2 linked regions of the Diceros bicornis minor genome follow. The protein of the gene in region 2 purifies or fractionates together with the protein of the main gene of each other region. This does not show direct contact. Links are inferred from orthologs where the notes say so. Each region holds a gene or a part of one and is shown on either strand. Other genes may lie near its edges.

Region 1 (7,754 bases), on a different chromosome or scaffold from region 2:
TCATTAGTAATCAAAGGGATGAAAATTAAAATAATAATGCAAGATCACTACATACCTGCCTGAATGATTAAAATAATAAAGATTGATAATACCAAGTATTAGTGGGGATATGGAATAACTGGTGGGAGTGTAAATTGGTTCAATTATTTTGGAAAGCAGGTTTGCAATTATCTACTAAAGTTGGTTTTACAATGTGAATGTATAAATGAAACCTACTTAGTCTGTAGCAGACATCTCTGGTACTTGTTGTCACATTCCCTTAGACCACCTCTGAGTTCAGCCGCAATTGTGGTGAACAGTTCCAACTCCCCTCATGCTGCTAGTGTGTCACCTCAAATGTACACTTCACATCTTTCCTTATTCTGCCTCTGGACCTTCTCTGACATCTGTAGTCACTTGCTAGACTTGCAAACAAAGCCACAACGTCTAGGGGAGTCAACAGCCCTGGGGATAACCCTCACTCAATGAGAGATGGAAGCCAGTAGACAAAAGCTCTCATCTTCCAGGTGGTCTATTCTGGGAGGCATTCTGTATGCTTCTCTGAAGTTCTGACAGAAGTGAGAACCTCAATAACACACGCTACATTGGCTTTCCCTTTCTCTCGTCTCATTCCAGTTTCCTAGGATTGGGAAAATAAACTACCTACACCGAAATAAACTACCTACACCCAAGTATTTATCTCAGGCTCTGATTTTGGGAGACCTAAACTCAGGTAGTTGAGACCAAGAGTTATCCCAGAGTAAAGACCCTCAGGATGGGATTCTGGACTGAATCACTCACTGATCATACGGCAACAAGGACTCTATTGTTGGTGGTAAGTTGAGCAGTGATAGACCCTGACATGCTGTGCTGTCCCAACAACCAAGCTCTTCACTCGCGGTAGACTGGAAGCACAAGTGGAAGGAGAACATCAGATTATGCAGTAACTGTAGCACAGGGATTCTCAACCTTTTTAATTTAATTTAATTTTAAATATTACCCTCCTAAGGAGAGAAATTAAATTAAATTTAAAGTATCCCAGGTGGGGGGTGGTCAAATGGTATGAACTTCCAGTTGTAAGATAAATAAGGTCCTAGGGACGTAATCTACAGCATGGTGACTATAGTAAACAATATTACTTGGTATATTTGAAAGTTGCTAAGAGAGTAAATCTTCAAAGTTCTCATCACAAGAAAAAAAAATTTGTAACTATATGTGGTGATGGATGTTAACAAAATTTATGGTGATAACCATTTCACAATATATACATGTATCAAGTCATTATGTTGTACACCTAAAACTAATACAATGTTATATGTCTATTATATCTCAATAAAAAAGTACATAAAAATAAAGCATCCCTGGCCAGAGAAGTTAAATACTAAGGAATAAGATTTTGTCAAATAGGGTTGAGATTTGGAGGCCACAAACCATTGTAATATCTAAGATATTTTTTCAGTTTTCACTTCCTTTGGGGAGATGTTGCCCCCATTGAGAATGCATGCTCTAGCACTTGAATGGTATGGGGGTAATGTTAATTAATTTCGTAGCATTGGCTTGATTTTGTTAACTATCTTAAAAGCCTTGAAGAAAGAGAATTTCAGGCTCAGGTCATCCACCTGTCAATTCAGGACCAGGTATGAAAGCCAAAAGAGCTCCATGGAAGATTTTTTAAAAACTCTCTTCTCTTGAAGCTGGAAAGCAGACTATGCTGAAAATCAGGCCCAGAATGTAATAGTTAGGGTGGCAGAGATCCTTTGACTGTTCTCTTAACGCTAAAGCCAGGGTTCTTGTAGGTGGGAGTGGGACCCCGAGGCTGGGATGGAGATATTTGGGTGGATGCAACTGAGAAGCTTGCACCTCTAGCAAGTAGCCCTCTCCCACTTGTTAGGATAGTGCAGCCGCCCTTGATCTGAGACTGTTTTAGTTTCCTATTGCTGTTGTAACCAATTATCACAAATGTAGTGCTTAAAACAACACATATTCATTATTTTATAGTTCTGGGGTTCAGAAGTCCAAAATGGGTGTTACTAGGCTAAAAGGTGTTGGCAGGGCCCTGTTCCTTTCTGGAGGCTCCAAGAAAGGATCCGTTTTCTTGCCTTTTCCAGCTTTTGGAGTTGTTTTTATTCCTTAGCTGGTAGCTCTCTTCCTCTGTCTTCCAAGGGTGAGCGGAGTGCTTCTCACATTGAATCACATCTCACATCTGACCTCTTCTGTAGTCTAATCGACTTTTTCCTCACTCTTCTGCCTCCCTTTTCCACTTTTAAGGAACCTTGTGACTACATTAAATCCATCTGGATAATCCAGAATAACCCCCTCATCTCAAGATCCTTAATTTAATTACACCTGCAAAATTCCTTTTGTCATGGAAGGTAACATACTCATAGGTTCTGGGGATTAGGATGTGAACATTTTTAGGCAGCCATTATTCTGCCTACACAGAGACCATGCAAAAACAGTTTCGTTTAGAATAATTCACTGTCGGTGTAAGTTATTTAATCCCCCTTTGTCTCCATTTCCTCATCAATAAAATGGGGGAATAACAGTAGTTTATCTCAAAGGGTTGTTAGAGGTTTAAAGGAGATAGTGCTTAGAATAGTATCTGGCACATAGTAAGCACTATGTGAACATCTATTAAATACATTTTTATAACATTGATTCTTACTATGTGTCAGACACTGGGGATCCAGATAGCATGGACAGGAATATGACTTGCTTTCGAGGGGCTCAGGGAGTCAGATACACAAGTACAGTTACCACACAGTGTGCTACACGCCATAAAAGGCAGGGAAGTACTACGGATTACAGCATTGTGAAGGCTCAGAGAAACTAAGAAATATTAGTCAAATGAATAAATGAACATGACATTTGAGCTGGACTTTGTAGAATGAATGAGTGTTGGCCAATGACATAAAGAGAGAAGAGCCCAGAGAAATGAAGAACTGTGTGTTCAAAGAACATTAAGTAGTATTTCAGTGTGGCTGGAGCAAAAGATAACATGTGTGAGAGGAAGCTGGAAAGGCTGTTGTTAAGCACCAAGGTTGTACAGTGCCAAGTTAAGGAGTTTGGACTTTATCCTAAAAGCAACAAAAGCCTTTCAGAGTGTTTAAACAGTATTTAAAAGTGATCATCATCAGATTTGTGGTTTTAAAAAGCTACCCTGTATGTAAGAATGGATTGGATTTGGAGAGGCTGAAACCTGCTCCAGTTGTCCAGGAGGTAGTGAGTGAAGAGAAGGGCAAGGACTCAAGAAATATTAAGGAGACTCTACAGGATTTGGGGACTAATTTGATAAAGGTGTTGAAAGAGGAAGAATGAGGGCTATGTCCATGTTTCTGGCTTAGGGGACTGCTGGATGGTGGTCCACTCACTGAGACCAGGAAACAGCATGAGTCACAAGTTTGGTGGAAAATGGTAATAGGAATAGCCAACATTCCCAAGGGTTTAATACGTGCTAAATTGTAGTTATTACTATTAGGGAAAAACTGGGGCTTAGAGAGATCAAATTAAGGATACTCAGGTACTACTTATTATGGAGAAATTGTGGCTTGGAAAGGTTAAGGTCCTATCACTAACATTTCTACAGCTGGGATTTGAACCAAGGCAATGATTCCCTTAGCCACTAACGCTGTTTTGGACTTGTGGAATTTGAGGTACAGTCGAGTATGCAAACGACGCTGTCCACGAGGCACTCGGAAATACAGAATCTGAGCTCAGGGGAAAGGTTTGGGTTGAATGTAGCCTCAGTGGTAGGAGAAAAACGGGAAAGGGAACCCATTTATTTCAAGATAGTTCAAACCTCCATTGTCATTTCTTTGTCTCCCTGGCCCTCCCCCCGCAAAGAAAGCAAATAGTATAATAAATGTCTGCCTTTGAGGTCACAGGAGATGAGGTAGTTTTCAAATTCAGCTTTTGGCAATGACCCAGAGGATTCTGTGGTGCTTTGTAACCCGAAGACCACAAAACCAGGGGATTAGCTGTCTTTTTTGACCCTGACTACACCACCAATGCCTCCAGAAATCGTCCCCAAACCTTCCCGGGGACAGGGCACGTCAAAAAAAGCCTGCACCGGCAGACAGTACGGGGTGAGAGGCGAGACGCGGGCGCAATGACGTCACGCGGTAGCCGGGTGATTCCCCACCATCTGGCGTCATGCGCCGATGACGTCATTCAAGGCGCTCCCCATCCCCCTCGCCTGGGTCGGCCTCGCTCACGTGTCTGTCCGGTCCTCCCCGCCCCCTCCCACCTGCGGGAGGCGGGGCTGGCCGGGCTCCGCCGGCGCCGAGGCCTCGCGGGGGAGGGGCGGGGGCCGGGGGAGGGGCGGGGGCCGGGGGAGAGGAGGTCGGCCCGGGCCGGCGGCATACAATAGCGCGGGGCGGGCGGGGGAGGCGACCCGGCCCCGGCTGCATCTGGAGCCCAAGGTGCCGGCAGCACAGGAGACGCCCCTCATTGCGTCCCTCGCGCCTCCCTCACCGCTCTGCCGTCCTACTCCACAGACGCTTCCCCTCGGACTCCTGTCCCCTCTTTCACGCGCTCTCAAAACCCTTCAAAGAACCGTCTCCCCACCTCCTCCCCCAGAGTCCGCCCGCGCCCCCTCAAGGCCCCACCCCCCACCGCACCCCCTCAGCCTCGTCGCCCAGCTCCCTCCGGCCCGCCTCTCGGTCGCTGATCCCCCCTGTCCTGAGGGGACTCCCGGCACGAGCGGGGTGGGGGAGGCGTCGAGCGCGCGGCGGCGGCGGGAGGGAGAAAGTGAAGCGGCTCCCCGTGCGCTCCCTTCCCGGCTCGGCCGCCGCCACCGGCTGGAGGAGGAGGAGGAGCCGAGTAGAGCCGAGTGAGCGCGGAAGGTGAGAGCCGGCCTCCCGCCCGGTACCCCCGGCGGCCGGGCTGCCCGGCGGGGCGCGGGCGTGCTCGTGGGCGCGGGCGCGGGGTGAGGGGCCTGGGCCCATTCATTCCGCGCGCCGGGGTCGGGCGGGCGGCCGGGGGCCCCAGGTGAGGCAAGGCGGGGCTGGCCGCTCCTGTCGGACCAACAAAGGCCCCCTGCACCCCCGGCGCGGCCGCCGGGCTCAGGCGCTGGGGACCCCGGGGACCCGGGAGGGGGCAGGGGAGGGGCCGGGAGCCCCGACAGGTCCCGGGCGCGGAGCGACTCCCTCGCGAACTTTGCAGTCGTCCGGCGCTAACCCTGGGCCCCCACGGGGCAGCCGAGCACAGGGGCGTCCGACTCATTCTGCCTGGAAAACGCACCCCTGTCCGGGCCTGGGACTCACCTGGAGGGTTCAGCTCCTTGAAAAACACGACTGGATGGTGCTTGGGTTTGCAGCCCCTCCCCCACCCCGGGTACTCGGCAACTTGTGGAGTTAAAAACACAGGGAAAGGAGAATTATAGCTATTTTATGTTCCTTTTTCCATTTCAAAAGACATTATTATAGCCTTTACTGTCTTGAATATTTTAACAGCAAAAAATGCTGGGAGTGTTTTGGAAGAATACTTGAGAAGTTTTGGGTGTTGGGAGCAAAGTGCTTGTTTGTTAAACCCCTTGGATAACTGTCTTAGACTTTCCCCTCCAGAACTGTGAAAGGTGAAGGGAAGAGTTAGTACTACGGTTACCAATAAAAATTCAAATGCATTAGTCTAGCCTTTATTTTAAGAATTGTTCCTGAGAAAATTGTTTTAGTTTTTCCTCTTGTGTTTTTGGACTCTCACAACTTTGTCAGGAGAAAACAGTCAACAGTACACGGTACATAGATGCCTCATTGGTCTCACCTTGTGACTTCACCTACTTCCTGTGTGACCTTGGGCAGGTCACTTCCAGCCTTAAAGCTCCGGGGGTTTGCATTTATGCCCTAGAAACAGGCAGGTAACAAGCGCCTACTCAGCCTTCAAGACTCCACTGAAGAACCCTCTCCACCCCATATGAAGTCTTTGCTGGCATTCACCCCCAAACTACTCAGGCAAAACTGACTTCTCATTGAGGCCCTCAGAGGCCTGGTAGGGTTTCTACTACAGCACTTGTAACATTCTTTGTTCCTATTTGGGAAATCTTAAACCAGGTGCATATGAAATCCACTTCACCTCACCTAGAAACTCCACTGCTCCAAAACGGTTTTGGGAACATAAACCCAGAAACAGTCTCTGAAGCTTGTCTATAACCTTACCTATAGGGGCTCCTAGGTCTGGCTGGTAAATTTGCTTTATTCAGTCATTCATTTACCCAACATTACTGGAGTCTGGAGAGCTACTCTGTTTCAGGTCTCCTGCTAGAACTATGGGGGCTGTTCAGACATTCCTTGTCTTTATAAAGAGCTCAAAGTCTAGTGGGTGAGGTCGGCATGTAAACAATGAAGGCCTGCCCTAATCTCTGGGGGACTCCCGTTGTACAGGGAGTAGGGTGCAATAATTGAGGCTGCTGGACCTGCTTTACAAGTCTTGTCCTGGCCAAAGTGAGTCCTGCAGGGAAGGTGGTGACCTGTCTCTCATTTATAAGACAAAAAGCTTGTTCAGTTCAATTCAATATCGTTTACTAAGCACATTATGAAGCCCCGTGTTAGGCTTGGAGGAAGCAGTGCTTTCTGAAAGGCGGGCACTATGTCTCCAGAGAGATCTTTATAAAACAAAACCAATCACGTTTTTTCTTCCCACCCTTGACTAGTCATTACCTAAAGATAAGTTTTCAAACTCTTGAACATGAATAAGAAGCTCTCAGAGATCAGACTACGGCCTCCCTTTGCCCCTTTACTTTCTGTTAACTCCCCTGCCATCCTCTTTCTCATTTCTACTTTGGCACGTGCTGTTCTTTCTGTTCAGAATGCCGGCCTCCTACCCCCTACCTGTCGGTGGATAAGTGCTTGTTGGACTTCTGGGCAGCAGCACCTTAATCTCTTCTCCTATTACTTCCTTAGAATGAGTCGCTCTTCCATCCTCTGGTTCATGTATATACCACTCTTACAGCTCTCCAGCCCTCTATTGCAATTATTTGAGTTTATGCCTGTCTTTTCATTAACCTGTGAATTTCTTGAGGGCAGGATCTGTTTAGTTTTAGTGCCTAGCAAAGTTCCTAGCACTGAGTAAGTGTTTGAAATGAATGAATGAATGTATGAATGAAGAAGCAAGTCAAGACCCATGAGACAGAGGTTACCTGATCCTTTGGGTTAGAACAATAGCTCCAAGTGTTGTGCCTGCACCAGCAACATCAACATAATCTGGGAATTTGTTAGAATTGCAAATGATTTGTCCCATCCCAGACCTACAACTGAAAAACTCTGGGGTTGGTGCCCCAAAACCTCTGCTTTAACAAGCCCTCCAGGTGATTCTGATATCTGCTAAAGTTTGAGAACCACTATGTTAAAAGATCTGCTCTTGATAAGACCAGCTTCTTGCCAGGTCCCTCCCTCCCTTCTTTTTTCTCATAGCACTTACTGCTTGACATTCCATTCCATTCCATTCTATTCTATTCCATTGCATTCGTTTGTCATCTGTCTTTTGCCGCTAGAATGAAAGCTTCCTGAGAGCAGAGAATTTTGTCTGGTGTGTTCACAACTGTAATCCCAGTGCCTAGAATAGTGACTGCATATAGCAGGCGCTCAGGTATTCGTTGAATGAATAATATGATCTAGTATCGTTTATTGCCAGCTGCTACATTGGGGTTTTATTCAAGAATAGTTCTCAGAATGAAGAGGAACCATACTTCAATATACAAATCTCAGTGGATTGTAACGTTTTTGGGGATTGATTTTAGACTGAGCTTTTCTTCCCTATTACGTCTGTCTTTCTCCACCAAA
Region 2 (7,392 bases):
TGGGTATGGACCTACACCACTCATCAGCCATGCTGTGGTGGCTACCCACATACAAAATAGAGGAAAGATTGGCACAGATGTTATCTCAGGGCAAATCTTCCTCAAGCAAAAAAAAAAAAGAGGAAGATTGGCAACAGATGTTAGCTCAAAGTGAGTCTTCCTCAGCAAAAAAAAAAAAAAAAAAGGGCGGTAGATCTGAATAGACATTTTTCCAAAGAAGACATACAGATGGCCAAGAGGTACACGAAAAGGTGCTCAACATCACTAATCATCAGGGCAACGCAAATCAACACCACAACGAGCTATCACCTCACACCTGTTAGAATGGCTATTCTCAAAAGACAAGAAATAACATGTGTTGGCGAGGATGTGGAGAAAAGGGAACACTTGTGCACTGTTGGTGAGAATGTAAATTGGTACAGCCACGGTGGAAAACAGTATGGAGGTTCCTCAAAAAATTAAAAATAGAACTACCATATGATCCAGCAATTCCACTTCTGGGTATTTATCTGAAGAAAACGAAAACACTAATTTGAAAAGATATATACACCTCCATGTTCTCTGCAGCATTATTTACAATAGCCAAAATATGGAAACAACCTAAATGTCCATTGATGGATGGCTGGATAAAGAAATTGTGGCATATATATGCAATGGAATCTTATTCAGCCATAAAATAGAAGGAAATCTTGCCATTTGCAACAACATGGATGGACCTCGGGGGCGTTACACTAAGTGAAATAAGTCAGACAGAGAAAGACAAATACTCTATGATCTCTCTTATATGTGGAGTCTAAAACAACAACAACAAAACAAGCTCATAGATAGAGAGAACAGATTGGTTGTTGCAAGAGATAAGGTGTAGGGGGGTGGAAGAAATGGGTGAACTGTTTTTTTTTTTTTTTTTAGTTTAAATAAATTAAACAGATTTTTTTTTTTGAGGAAGATTAGCCCTGAGCTAACATCTGTTGCCAATCTTCCTCTTTTTCGCTGAGGAAGATTGGCCCTGGGCTAACGTCCATGCCCATCTTCTTCTACTTTATACGGGCTGCCACCACAGGGTGGCTTGATAAGCAATGTGTAGGTCCATGCCTGAGATCTGAACCTGGGAACCCCAGGCCACTGAAGTGGAGCGTGATAACTGCTATGCCACCGGGCTGACCCCCAATTTTTTTTTTTTTTTGATAAAAGAGAGTAAAGCAAGAGTCGGAGGCTATAGGATACAAAAACTAACATCTTGCCAGTTGTCAGGGTAGAGCCACATTTGGTAGGGCCTGAAGCTTATCAAATTTGGGGACCTTCTTTAAAAGAAAGTATAAAAATTTAAGAATAGAAAATTAGGTACAAAATAAATATTGATTTAAAATGAGAAATGTGTCACAACAAGCTGTAAAATTTAAAAGGCTGACAAACACCATAAACTTCACAAAAATCCACAAGAAAACTTTTTAATAAACTGGCTGACATACCTTGACAATATTATTTTTTTTTACATTTTTTTGGCTGTATACCCTTACCCCCTCAACTTTACTGAGGTATAGTTGACAATTAAAAGTTGTATATATTTAAGGAGTACAATTTGATAATTTGATATATGAATACATTGTGAAATATTCACTCTAATCAAGGTAATTAACGTATCCATCACCTCACTTAGTTACTTTTGTGTGTGTGTGTGTGTGTGTGTGTGTGTGTGTGTGCTGAGAACACGTAAGACCTACCCTGTTAGTAAATTTCAAGTATATAATATGGTATTGTTAACTACAATCACACTGTTGCACATTAGATCTCCAGAACTTTTTTTTGCATAACTGAAATTTTGTGCCCCTTGAACAACATCTCCCCATATCTTCCTAGCCGCGTATCTTTCAATCATTCCTTCCCTTTTGTAATTTTGTGATATGTTTTCTATGAGAAGAATGGAAATGTACTTAACATGCAGGTACACTTACTGTTTGAGATACTACTATAGGTTTGTGTCTTCACAAATGTAGGAATTCACATCAATTCTCTGTCATGCGATTTCCTCCAAAAGTGTATGGTGCATTTATAACTGCATATGCTGCATTTAGAGTATATTCCTGACAGGAGACAACTTCCGTTTTGACCAGGTGTAGTCAAGAGAGCCAAACCCTCTCTAACAATACTGTGTGTTTTATGATGGGAAGAATTACTGCAGACTAGCTTCTGGCTCCATCCATCTCAAAATCTGTTCCTCCTTTGCTACTGGAACCCTTCCAGTGCTGGGGACCATAGGACAGTTCAGTGGACACCAACGTGACTCCACAGAGGGTAGCAAGCGTGCCACTGGTAGCCATTCCTACACAGCAATAACATAACTACACACAGGAGCTGTAAATGACATAAACATATCCCATCAAGGGCAGGGTTAGGGAGAGGCAACCCAGGTGCCTGAGGCTCAACACTTAAAGGCTGGCTCATTCTCAGGGTCAGCCAAGTACAAGGTTGGCCCCCTTAAATTTTGCTCCCGGGGCCGGGCCAGAGGCGCAGTGGTTAAGTTCGCGTGCTCTGCTTTGGTGGCCCAGGGTTCGCAGGTTTGGATCCCCAGCGTAGACATGTGCACCGCTTATCAAGCCATGCTGTGGGAGTGTCCCACATATAAAGTAGAGGAAGATGGGCACAGATGTTAGCCCAGGGCCAATCTTCCTCAACAACAAAAAAAACCTTTTTGCTCCCTTGGCAACTCTTTTATCTCACCTTAGTCCTGGCTCTGTATCCATTAAACCCAAACAAAATGTCTCCCCAACTTCACCTTCCTTGGCTTGATCCCTAAAATGTCCACTGCCACTTCAAAGCCACTCAATACGAGGAGAAGTTAGAGTTGAATGAGACAGCGGACTTAACTGTTGGTGGTTAAAATATATTATTTTGTAAGATTTACAAAAACATATAACCACGTGTTCATATTGCTAGGGTCCCCAGGGCCTTGGAGGGGTTCTCTGCAAGCAAAGTGCCCTGGATTCAACATCTAGCCTCTTCATAAATCCACCTCTGCTTTCCCACCATGGCCATGCTTCCAAGTCTGAGTTTATGACACGGCTTGTTCATGCTTTCGGGACCCTGGTAAAGGGCTTCCGCTCTGGAGCTAGACGATTTGCCTTTGGATCCTGTCACTGCCACTTACTAGCTTGTGGAACCTGAGCACTTTAATATCACTGTCTTTAGATTTTCTCATCTGTAAAATGGGGATAAGTGATGTTAAGATCAGAGGAATTAGTTCAGGCAGAGTGCTTACAACAGTGTCTGGCACATGATAAAGGCTGAATATTTATTAGCTGTGGTTATTTTTATTATTCTTGGCTGTAGTACCAGTATTTGCGTTGATTATGTGTGCCTCTCCTCGCACTGCACTGTAAACCCGGAGGAGCCTTTGTGTCCTGACTGGGCCCAGGGACGCTTCCCTGCTTTCCGAGTGGACTGTTGACTAAATGTTGGAGGAAGGCAGAGAGGAAGGAGTCAGAGATAAATGGAATTTTTTTTCAGGTAATTTTAATGTCACCAAATTACATTTAAGTAAATGAAGGAATTGGGGCTATAAAGAAATTTGCTGCTTCATAGCATGCCAAAGAGAAAGTCAAACGAGCATTAACCATGGACCTGGCACCCTTCTACTCTCAAATGATATGAGAAGAAATTATTTTAGAAGAAGAAAAATCACACGATGGACTGAAGCTACAATTTAAAAAAAATAAAATTGCCTGTTAATTCATCTCTTTCAGACGTCATGTCCCCAAGACACTTTATTTCCCCTCTTGGGTGGAGCGCCGTGGCCAGAGAGGGACCCCACAGCTCAGGTTCCGACCGAGAAGGGAAAGTGAGGGCGTGGGGGCGAGTGGGGCGCGCGGCGAGAGGAACAGCGGGAAGCTCAGGCTTCCCCGCCCGCGTGAGCGCAATCAGGGGGCGCCGCCCGGGCCAGTCCGGCGATGGTGTCAGTTTCTGGCGCTGGGGAGGAAGCTGCCCTCGGCCAGACCGGCTCCTTCAGGCGCCGCCCCCGGAGTGGGTGTTCAGGGGCCCCCGGAGCTGGTGTTCGGGGGTCCCTCGAGCCGCCGTCCGAGGTCCCCGCCTGCCCGGCGTGGCACCGGCTCTGGCGCGGGTGCAGGGGCCCAGCGCGCAGGCTGGGGGCGCTGTCGCCTCGGCTCGGGGACGGAGCTCCCGGGCCGGACCCGCCTCTTTCCCCTCCCCGCCCGCCCCCCACGCGTCGTGTCGCCGGGAAGCCGGGAGGAGACAGAACGCTCGGGCTCCACGGCGCTCGGCCTGCAGTCCTCCGACCGCGCGGAACAGAGCCGGGTGGCGCCTCCGGAGCACAGAGCCGCGACCCTCCGCGGCCGCCTTTGTCTGGCAGCCGTGCGTCCTGGAAGCGCCGCTCTCGGGGCCCAGGGACGGTCCCGGAGTGGTCGGTGACAGCTCCTCCCTCCCGGAGAAGTCCAGGACGGAGGGACGGTCGGGCCGGGTCCCGCTGGCGCGCGTCTGCACGTTCGAGCGCGCGGACCCATGCCCCCGCAGCAGGGGGACCCCGCATTCCCGGGCCGCTGCGAGGCGCCGCCCGTGCCGCCGCGCCGAGAGCGCGGGGGGCGCGGGGGGCGCGGACCCGGGGCGCCAGGTGGCCGGGGGCGCGCGGGCGGTGGCGAGGGGCGCGGCATCAAGTGCGTGCTGGTCGGTGACGGCGCCGTGGGCAAGACGAGCCTCGTGGTGAGCTACACCACCAACGGCTACCCCACCGAGTACATCCCCACCGCCTTCGACAACTTCTCGGGTGAGCGGGGCACGGGGGCGGGGGCCGGCGGGGGACGCGATGCTGACGGACACGGTGCCGAGAGAGGGAGCGCGGCGCGAGGGTCTCGGGGCGCCAAGGGGGCTGCAGGGCCCCGGGCCCGGCTCTGGCCGGGAAGCGGACCCAGTGCAGAGTGCGGGACATTTCTCGAGCCTCGGGGACGGGGCGAGCGCGAAGCAAACTGAGGGACCGCGGAGGAGTGGGGAGCCCCAAAACCAGAGCTTGAGGAGAGGGCGGGGTCCGGGAGTCAGAGGCTATGAAAAAAAAGTCATCTCGCAATTTAGTCACAGACGAGCCAGAATCAAACAGGTAGAGTCCAGGTGGCCCGGTCAGTTTGCCGCGTACAGAAGTTGCGTCAGGTCGACATTGCTGGCGCCGCTGCCACTTTCAATCGGAAGGTGCCATTACCTGTGGCCCCGAGTGTCAATCCTTTCCTTTCGGCGACTGCCTTCTCAAGGGGCTTCTCCACTTTAAAGAGCCGCGGAGACGGTAAAATAGTTGATTTAGTGAAAATAGCGTTAATGGCACCGGTGAAGGCTTAGGTTTGGATTCAACCGGAAGAGTAAACACGATCGATTTCTTTCTTCTGAATCCCCTCCCCTGCCTCCACTGCCGCACTGCCACCTCCCGCACTGGCCCAGTTTGCGATTCTTAGTATCTTTTCAGTGTCTCTTTGAACTACGTAAAGCTCTTATGTATGGGGTGCTATGTTTTTTGGTTTAGTAAATACAAAGATAAAGAAATTCTTTATCATGATTTTTCATGTCTTTTTGAAATTTAAGAAAAAATTAAAATCCACAGAAGCTAGTGTGAAACACTTACTCTCTCTTGCTCTTAAAAAAAAAAAAAAATTGCGTCTTGACTTCTTAAAAAGTCGTGATGGCAAGGGCTTGCTTTCTTCCCCCTCAAAGGTACCCTAGATAAAACAGTGCTGTGCGAGTGGGTTTCCCACCTAAAGGGTATTCTTTCTTTCCCTTTTTTCTCCCAACTGATGAGTATAAACATTTATAAACAATTTAGAAAGTTGTATTGAGATGAAACTGAAGGCTTAATCCAAGTAGAAACCTCCAGGCCGAGCCCTGATGCAGGCCCCTGCCCACATGCCCCATACAAGTGGAAAGGTGGGCTCGAGTCCTTTCCTTTCTTTTTCTTTTCAGTCCTCTTTGAGCTGACACGGAGAGAGAAGCAGTGCCCACTTTTATAAACAGGACGATGCCAGCAGCCTATGTTTGCACATGTTCCCAAAACAAGCTACAATTTTATGATACACCCTGAAGTCTCAGAATGTTTCCCAAGGGAAAACAATTATTTGTGAGGTTTTCCACTGATTTAAAACTGTAAAGTTGGTTTCCACTTACCCCCCAGTGTTCTTTTTAGGTGTTTTGAAACTAGTGTGACAGGAAAATAAATCTCCTGGGCTGGGAGAAAGGCGCAGTCTCTTCTGGGGTGCCATCAAAGGGCTCAGGGGTTTGCCGCCTCATCTGTGGCAAAGGATGAATTGCCAGCCCTGGGGGTTTTGTGTACAGAAATGCCTCCATGACTCCTTGTTTTGGGCAAGTCTTTAATTCCTAGGGGACCCAGAAGAGGCGCTGAAGGCTTTGGAGAAAGAATGGTAGTGCGAGCTAAAACTGTCATTCTTCTGAAAGGGCTTAAAAGCCACCCACTGATGGTCATGTTGGTCTTGTTTTTAAGCTGTGGTGTCCGTGGATGGGCGGCCTGTGAGACTCCAGCTCTGTGACACGGCAGGACAGGTCAGTATCTTGTTGCTGCTCAGTGCTGGGAAAGGAAATGCCCTTTTAAAGGTCTCCAAATAACCTCCCTCAATAACTGGGTTGTTCTAAAGCCTCACGAAGGAGCCACACCCCTGCTGTTGGCCCCTCTCGGAGGGGTCTGGGGGGTGGGGAGATAGCTCTGCAGTAATAAAACAGGGTTTGGCCCAGCTTTATGTGGGCAGGACAGGGGAAAATAGTCAAGAACGCTTCTTATCTTACAGGAGTTTCTGACTGTATTTACTTTCTGGTTTATATTAAAAATTATCAATGATGCTTTGTAATCATTTCTCAAAGTAAGTTGGAGATATCTTATAATCATTTTATTAAAGGTCAACAAGCCAAATATTTAAGAAATTTGCTCAAGAGAAAGATGGAGTTTGTGTCAGTAAGTGTTAATATTTCCCTTCCTAAGCTGTGGGCTCACTCACTAGGGCCACTGCCTCCCTGGAAGCCACGGTCGAGCTGTCCTAGGCTGGAGGAGTGAATGACCTGGGACTTAGTCTTTTCAAATCATGAACATTTGTTCTTGTCTTGAGGACCACGCACTTGGATGATACAGCCAGGCAGTGGGGAGGAGGTCCCCCTTGGGGTGTCCCCCCAAAGAGCTCCGGGGGCTCGTCATCACCCAATCCCCCTGGCACGGTGCTCAAGTCACTGAAGTCTCGCTGTGCTCTCTGAGGCCCCAGGGTGCCGTCACTTGAGTGTGCCAAGGTGACAGTTAATAAACGTGGAGTCTCTCCAGTGCTTGCTAGAGGTAGAGAAAGTGCTGGGGGCACTTTGTAGGCAGAGAAGAGTGCCCGTCTCACTTTCTGAGCTGTTGTCACATGA

The links. The genes of interacting proteins can lie anywhere in the genome.
Region 1: the proteins of RHOU (region 2) and PAK1 purify together in Homo sapiens (co-immunoprecipitation; 5 studies listed by BioGRID and IntAct, with this or other methods). This does not show direct contact. The link is inferred for Diceros bicornis minor from reciprocal best matches to the Homo sapiens genes RHOU and PAK1.

What each region holds. Positions count from the first base shown.
Region 1 is NC_080746.1:53,894,446-53,902,199, forward strand, and holds the start of PAK1 (serine/threonine-protein kinase PAK 1), read left to right. Parts: upstream 1-4,426; 5' UTR 4,427-4,823; intron 4,824-7,754. UniProt on the Homo sapiens protein: Protein kinase involved in intracellular signaling pathways downstream of integrins and receptor-type kinases that plays an important role in cytoskeleton dynamics, in cell adhesion, migration, proliferation, apoptosis, mitosis, and in vesicle-mediated transport processes.
Region 2 is NC_080745.1:25,743,691-25,751,082, forward strand, and holds the start of RHOU (rho-related GTP-binding protein RhoU), read left to right. Parts: upstream 1-4,234; 5' UTR 4,235-4,512; coding exon 4,513-4,774; intron 4,775-6,484; coding exon 6,485-6,543; intron 6,544-7,392. UniProt on the Homo sapiens protein: Binds to and activates protein kinase PAK1. Plays a role in the regulation of cell morphology, cytoskeletal organization and focal adhesion assembly during cell migration. Also stimulates quiescent cells to reenter the cell cycle.